2 linked regions of the Oryctolagus cuniculus genome follow. The protein of the gene in region 1 interacts with the protein of each later gene in a pairwise test. Links are inferred from orthologs where the notes say so. Each region holds a gene or a part of one and is shown on either strand. Other genes may lie near its edges.

What was found.
Region 2: the proteins of ITSN1 (region 1) and KIF5A interact in a two-hybrid assay, tested with the Homo sapiens proteins (2 studies listed by BioGRID and IntAct). The link is inferred for Oryctolagus cuniculus from reciprocal best matches to the Homo sapiens genes ITSN1 and KIF5A.

The regions. Positions count from the first base shown.
Region 1 is NC_091435.1:11,216,104-11,220,447, reverse strand, and holds part of ITSN1 (intersectin-1), read left to right. Parts: intron 1-634; coding exon 635-882; intron 883-3,265; coding exon 3,266-3,425; intron 3,426-4,344. UniProt on the Homo sapiens protein: Adapter protein that provides a link between the endocytic membrane traffic and the actin assembly machinery. Acts as a guanine nucleotide exchange factor (GEF) for CDC42, and thereby stimulates actin nucleation mediated by WASL and the ARP2/3 complex.
Region 2 is NC_091442.1:60,188,629-60,191,861, forward strand, and holds the end of KIF5A (kinesin heavy chain), read left to right. Parts: intron 1-506; coding exon 507-589; intron 590-996; coding exon 997-1,024; intron 1,025-1,403; coding exon 1,404-1,482; 3' UTR 1,483-1,517; intron 1,518-2,403; 3' UTR 2,404-2,544; downstream 2,545-3,233. UniProt on the Homo sapiens protein: Microtubule-dependent motor required for slow axonal transport of neurofilament proteins (NFH, NFM and NFL). Can induce formation of neurite-like membrane protrusions in non-neuronal cells in a ZFYVE27-dependent manner.

The DNA of each region.
Region 1 (4,344 bases):
CTGTAAGATCTTAGTAAAATTGATTACTGCTGTAATTAACCCCTTCGTTGACATTCACATCATGTATCTGTGGAGCACTTAAATGGCTACACCTATCAGTCAGCTTTGCTTCCTGTGGAAACCACCTAAGGCTTGTTTGTATCTTCCTTGTCTCTCTGCTGAATAAATACTACTTAGTTACTAGATGGTTTTAGAGTACTAAATTTATATTGATTGCGCCCTTTTGTTGCAACTTCAAATAATAAACCCAAGACAAATTCATCTTTCTTTTATTAGTCAAATTATTTTTAATAATTATATGACTTCCTGAGTGATGAATGCTATCAGATCCACTGTCCAATTCAAAATAACTCTGAAAACTTAGACTGTCTGTCCAGGTACTTCTGGCACTTTGTCTTGATTGTCAAAAAAAAGTACCAAGAATTAGAACTTGAATTGTTGTGCTTGCTGTTTTCCCACGATTAATGTTTACAGAGCATTTTTCCAGACATTTAGATGAGGATGGAAACATTTCTGTGCTGTGTGTCAGTCAAAACAGGGAGGAGGCTTGGGGCTTTGTTATGGTGGGTGCTGTTTGCTGTGTTCCGGGGTGGATTTAGTTCCACTTAGATGTTGTGACTTGTCTTTCCCACAGGTGGATGAAAGCCAAACTGGAGAACCGGGATGGCTTGGAGGAGAATTAAAAGGAAAAACAGGATGGTTCCCTGCAAACTATGCAGAGAAAATACCAGAAAACGAGGTTCCCACTCCAGCCAAACCAGTGACTGATGCCACATCTGCCCCTGCCCCAAAACTGGCTCTGCGTGAGACGCCTGCCCCTTCAGTGGTGAGCTCTTCCGAGCCCTCCACCACCCCCAACAACTGGGCCGACTTCAGCTCCACGTATGTGTGACATCCTGTTTCTGATGCTTTTTAAATATCAATTCAGGAATCATTTTTCCTCTCTCTGTGTCTTTATGGTGTGGTTGTCTCTCCGTGTTAAGGAAGCTGGCTTGTTCCTATTACCCTCTCTCTCATTGTCTCCCAGGAAGATTGTGTATTACATTCTCTGAACTGGATCTAATGGAATCATTGCCCAACTATGGTTTAACCCTGGCACAAAATATACTCTGTTATCTTGTTTCATTCTGTAATCTGTGTATCTCTTTCATTTTTCTGGATGAAATGGAGACATACAGTTTCCTACCACAGTTGGCCCTCCTCATCTGTGGATTCAACCAACTGCTGAGCCAAAATGGTCAGGAAAAAGCATTTTGTTAGCACTGAACACATACCGACTTTTATCTCATCATTACTCCCTAAACAACACAGTATAGCAATATTACCATAGCATTTACATTTCCTTAGGCATTATAAATAATCTAGAGCTGATTTGAAGCATACGGAAGAATGTGTGTAGGTTCTGTATAAATACTACTTGAGCGCCTGCAGATTTCGGCGTCCACAGGGGTCCTGGAACCAATCTCCCACGGATACCGAGGGAACACTGTCATCTGTTTTGACATCCATGTCTGTCAGCAAATATTCCAAGTCATTTCCTGCATGAATTTAAATAGGACTCTCTTGCTGGGCAGAAACAGAAATTGCATTCAGTCATGTGGTTTTGAATAAGATAGCTGTTTCCTCTCAGGCTTTCGATTTTCATTAGTCTTGTGCAAGTGTACAGTGGAGTGACGAGGTGCGTGTCCTTGACCGCTGTTATTTAGCAAAACAGCAAAGAAGTAGAGGTTTGAAATGACAGAGGAGCCTGCTGTCCAGACCTCTAGTTACAGGGCCATGACCTAGATGTGTAGTTGCCTGAAACTAGTTGAAACCAGTATGCAAATAAGAGTGATTTGAGTGAGAAGTGCTTGGGGGTGGGGGAGGATTTCTCTTCAAATCTAATCATCTTTCAGAAGAAACCAGTTGAAGTTAAGGAATCAAAATGTATTGCAGGAGAAGGGTCAGGTGGGACAAATAGAGGGAAGAAAGGAGAATGACTAGCAGGGGCAGGAGGAAGTGGAGGAGAGGATTTGAGGATAGCCAGTTTTTCATACTTAGAGTTTCATATCAGAGGTTGAAAGCCATAAAGATCCTCGCTATATAAAGTTTGCTTTTAAAAAACAGTCGCCTCCCATTAGCAGGACTTCCAAGTCAAAACTGTCCCTTCCTCTTTTGATCTCGATTGAGAAGTTATAACTTTCTAACCTGAAGCTTAGCCTGAAATAGAAGAGTAATACCATGTTTTCCAGGATTTGTTTTTGCTGTGGATTAAATTAGTAGGACATTCTTCCTCAATAAATGTGTAGTGTGCAGTTCTCCTGCTATAATTATGGACATTTTATTTTCCAAACCAAAAATCAGAGTGTGTGCTCTAACAGAGCAGTTGTTTTGATTTTTTTTCCAGTTGTGTTTACGTGTCTTACAAAGATGTAAACACAAAAATTGCGTTTAGATCTGCACTCGCACAGATGCGTTTGTCTAAAATTGTAATATCACAAAATCACAAAATTAGAACTATCTCCCTAAGATCCAAGACAACTGGTTGCTGTAAGGATGCCCCTGCCAATGACCAGACATCCAGGTGTCTGCCCTAGGGTGGACGGAGAAAGAAGAGGTGCTGGGAAGCCTTGGCTGTGGTGCTGTTTTCCTAACTTCTTCATTCCTCAGTTGTCACTGCTGACGGTAATGATCATGTAAGGAGGGTCCCGCACAGCGAAACAAAAAAGGGGCAGAGTATCGTTCCTGTTTTACCCATGAGGAAGCCAGGAGTCAGAGAGACTGCTTTAGTTTGCTAAATGGCCTTTGCTAATGTCGAAGCTCAGACTGAATCCTAAGCCCAGGGCTCTTTCCTCTCTTCCTTGTTCTTTAACTGTAGAGAGCTGCAGAAATGGGGCAGGCACTCAGCTCAGCGTGTCAGACTCTGCTTGGGTTGCCCACATCCCATGAGAAAACTTCCATTCAAGCCCAAGCTCTCTTCCCCTCCAGCTTCCTGCTCATGCACACCCTGGGAGGTGGCAGGTGATGCGTCCCTGTCACCCATGGGGGAGATCCTGATTGAGTTCCGAGCTTCTGGCTTTGGACTGGCCCAGTTCCAGCTGTCGTGAACGTTTGGAGAGTAAACCAGGGGCTACGTCTCTGACTTTCTGTGTCTGTCTCTCTGCTTTTAAATAAATAAACAGGAAATCCTGGATTTGTGTTTACACGGGCTCACTGAGCACTGAACTCTGGGTGGAAAGCTTTCGGAAGTGCGTTACCATTGATGGTGGTGTACTTTTCCTTCCAGGTGGCCCAGCAGCACGAATGAAAAACCAGAAACGGATAACTGGGATGCGTGGGCAGCCCAGCCTTCGCTCACTGTCCCCAGCGCCGGCCAGTTAAGGCAGAGATCGGCCTTTACTCCAGCCACAGCCACCGGCTCCTCCCCTTCTCCTGTGCTAGGCCAGGTAAGGGCAGTCGGTGCCCTGCAGCCAGCAGGTGCTTGTTGGTGCTGCCGTTCAGAAGTCAGCTCTGCTCTGTGCTTCTGGGATGGCTTTATCACAAGGGGTCCGGGAGTCTGAAATGCGCTGGGAAGGACCAGCGTTCAGAAGGGGGAGTCGACCCTTCCTGAGCTGATCAGGGCAGCCCTGCCCAGTGGTAAGGGTCGTACTGGAAAATGCAGAGGGCTAGCATTTCAGGCAGAAGCAGTGAGGAGGGGCTTTAAAGCAGAAAACCCAAGCGTGTGCATGGAAAATCACGTTCATTCCCTTGGCCAGGCCATTGATCACTGGAAAACAAACCGGGGAGCTCTGAAATACCCTGCAAAGATAAAGGAGTGAAATTAATCAGTTCAGCCAAGCAGGATATGCCCATCCGGGGGGCTCTTAGAGGGTCCGGGCAGTTTCTGTCTGGGAGCACCCAGACTGCGGCAGACACTGGGCAGATTCAGCTGGAGACGATGATGCAGGGAGATGAGAGTGAGGACCAGTGGGCAGCATCACTGTTGTTCAGGGTGCAGGTGATGAGCACCAGGGAAGACCTGGGCCCAGGTGGGTTCATAGTCCCGAGCAGGGTGGAAGCAGTGGGTGTAGAAGAGGAGCACACATGAGGGAGGCTGCAGAGGAGAAACAGCAGAATGGCCTCTCCGGGCCCGTACCAGCCAACAGGAAAGGAAGGGGGTCTGGGAGTGAGAAGGGGGTTCCACCTGGAAGGTAAAGAAACAAGGAACAGAGAAAGAAAAATCAATTATTAGTTAGAGGCAGGAGTAGGTTCTGCACATGTTAAGGTTAAGGTGGAAACAGGACATGCAGGTAGTCCTGCCAGGCATGCTGTTGGAGCACAGAGCTGGGGGGTGGAAGAGAGGACAAGACCTGCATTATATGAGTA
Region 2 (3,233 bases), on another chromosome or scaffold:
AGAGAGAGAGAGAGAACATCCATCCACTGGTTCACTCCCCAAATGGCCACAATGGCCAGAGCTGAGCCGATCAGGAGCCAGGAGCTTCTTCCGGGTCTTCCACATGGGTGCAGGGGCCCCAGCACTTGGGCCATCTTCCACTACTCTCCCAGTCACGTCAGCAGGGAGCTAGATCAGAAGTGGAGCATCTGGGACTCAAACCGGCACCCATATGGGATGCCGGCATTGCAGACAGAGGCTTAACCCACTACACCACAGCGCCAGCCCCAGTGGGGTCATCTTTATGTTCCTAACTAGCTTCGTTCCTCTCTTTCTTAATAACTTTGTGCCCAAGACTGGAAGGCAGGCGTGTGTCCTCCCAGCTGTGGCCCTGCTGGCTGGGCTGTGGTCTTGGGGCTGGGGAGGGGGTTGGTGGTGGCAGTGTTGGTGGTGGGTGGCTCTATTGCCGAGGGTCTCAGGACAGTCGCGTGTGCCCGAGCCCGCCTCCCCCTCCTCTGCTCCGTCAGCTTCGCCAACTCCTGTAGCAGCAGCGCGGCTGCATCTTCCGGTGGCTCCTTGGCTCCCTATCAGAAGGCCAACATGGACAATGGTGAGTGGGAAAGATGAATCGCGCGGCCGTGGGCATCCCCGGGGTGAGCCGAGAAGCGGCAGAAAGTGAGCAACCGCAGCCTACAAGGAGTCTGGCAGACTCCTCCCGTGGGCCAGGGCTCCTGATAGAACGAGAAAAACTGTGGCCCCTGTTCCCGCAGCTCCAACACTGCCCACCTCTGCAAGTCTCTCACGCGTGGACTCCTCCCACCTCCGAGCCTGCCCTCCACCCTGACCTCCCGCCCCCCACCCTGCTCAGGGAGGGGCCTGGGAGGTCTGATCTCAGGCGCGGGGCAGCTGAGGCTGGAGCCGTGGCTTAGCTTCTCCAGGGCGCTGAGGTGGGCGTGTCCAGGGAGGTGGTTTCTAACAGCCAGTGTCCTTTGTCATCTTCTACCCCCGTGCTCTCAGGAAATGCCACAGACATCAACGACAACAGGTATGCCACTCCCCACTACCCTCGGGTCCTCTGGGCGCCTCGAGAAGAAATGATCCATTTTTCCTCTGCCCTACTTAGAGCTTCTCAGGGGCTCCGACAGCAGCAGGAGATCAGAGCCCCTCTTGCCATCTCTGGGCTGTCATCGCCGTCCCCTCTTCCAGCCCCACCCACCCTTGATTTCTCCCCATCCCGGTTATGGGGCCCGAGGGTGAGGGGAGGAAATGCCACAGGCATCTGCTGACCTGGCCCTGTCTCCTCGCTGGTGACCTTGTGCAGGCCAGCGTCATCCCTGCATTCCCGGGTAACCCGGAGAGTCCTGTGGCAGAGCTCAGGGACGGTGACGGGGTCCTCTCCTCACCCTGGGTCTCTCTTCCTCCAGAAGTGACCTGCCATGCGGCTACGAGGCTGAGGAGCCCGCCAAGCTTTTCCCTCTGCACCAAGAGACGGCAGCCAGCTAATCTCCCACAGGACGGCTCCGCACCTGCACTGTCAGGTAGCTTCCAGATGCATCCCGGACCACTGCAGGCTGCCTCCTTTCCTGCCCACGGCCTTTTTAGTCCTCCTGCTTCTGTTTTTTTCTCCACCATTTCAAAACTTAGACGATGTACTCACTGCTCACCTCTTGGTTCCCCCTCCCCGGGGCTGCACCTGTGCTCAGGACCCACCTCCCCACTCTTCCAAACTCTCCCTTCAGCTGCAGGAGTAACCACAGCATTACTGCCCTCCTGCCGCTAGGGGGCACCACCACACATCAAAAGGAGCAAACCCGGGCACTGTGGCTCTAAAGCGGCAGGCAGGTCACAGACTTAGATACCCAGAGGCCTTGAGAGATGATCTCAGCTCTCCTACCTCCACCCTAACATGGCTTCAGATGGATAGATATTTTCCAAACCAAGGCATCTCCAGTCAAGGTGATGTTCGCCTTCCTCCTGCCCTACCTGTGTATGCACCCATACTGTAGGAAGCACCTGCCAGGTGGGTGCAGCGTCATCCCTCTGCTCCCTGGAGGCGGAAAGGGTTCTCTCGCCAGCTCCCAGCACTTCCCTCCTTTCCCACCTCCAGCCAAACGGGAACCTTCCTGGGTCTCGTGGGTCATCACACCTGGGATCCTGTTTTATTGTCTACTCTTGCAGAACAGGGCCATTCTCTTCCTGGCCTGCACCCTCCCTCCCCGGCCCTCTGCAGGGGCACCCAGGACAATGGGCCATGCACACACCAGCAGAAAGGCGTGAGAAGCAGAGAAATAGGGTGGGAGCAGGGGCTGAGCGGACGGTCGGGTGTTGAAGGAGCAGGACTGTAAACCTGTGTGTGCGCCCGTCCCCGGGCAGTGTCTGGGCTGCCAGCTGGCTCCTCACACGCTCTTTCTCTTTCTTTCCCAGTTTCTAAGAGGGACCGAGGCCTCTTCTCTCAGCATGCTGCAAACCTGTGGTCTCCAATACTAGCTGCCCCCGCCCCTGTCGTCCCGCTGTGCGATGTTTGATGTCTGCTCGCTCTGTATCTATAGATCAAAGTTGCTGCTACGTCTCTCTTCTCTGTCTCACTCTCTGAGTATCTAACCATGTACTGAGCAATCGCTAAGCCTAGTCTGCCCTCCTCAATTGGGGCGATAGAGAGGAGGGCGCGTGTTCCTTCTGTCTCCTTCATACCTTTGTCTCTCACACTGAGTGGTATTAGTTGCTGATAGAGGTCATAGAGATGACAAAAGGAGAAACAGGAGCTGGAGGGCTGCGGCCCTTCTGTGTCTCTGTACACACACACACACACACACACACGGACACACGGACACACAAAGCCTTAAGCGGAAGAATGTCTTGGCATCCTAAGAAGACGCAGAAATGACTTCCTCGCTCCTCGCTCACGCGCAGCGCAGGGGAGGGTGACGCGGAAGGGCTGCTAATTCACACACGCTCTCCTTCAGACACCCACCACCTGAGTCGGGGGACCCCAGGGTTTCACCGCCACCCGACTTTTTGCCTCCCTTTGTTTTCCCGAGAATCTGGGTTGCTCGAGGGGCCGTGTCCCTTTCCCTTCCAAGCTGCTCTTGACATTTTGCATCCCAGATCTCACGGCCAGAAGTCAGGGCTGCTTCCAACCGCTGTGAAAATCCAGGTGGTAGAACCCCGCCCGGCAGCTGTCGGCGGCTGCTCCTCTGCCCACGGTGGTTCCAGGCGAGGACAAGTCAGGATGACTGACTCCTTGGGTTTGGGGG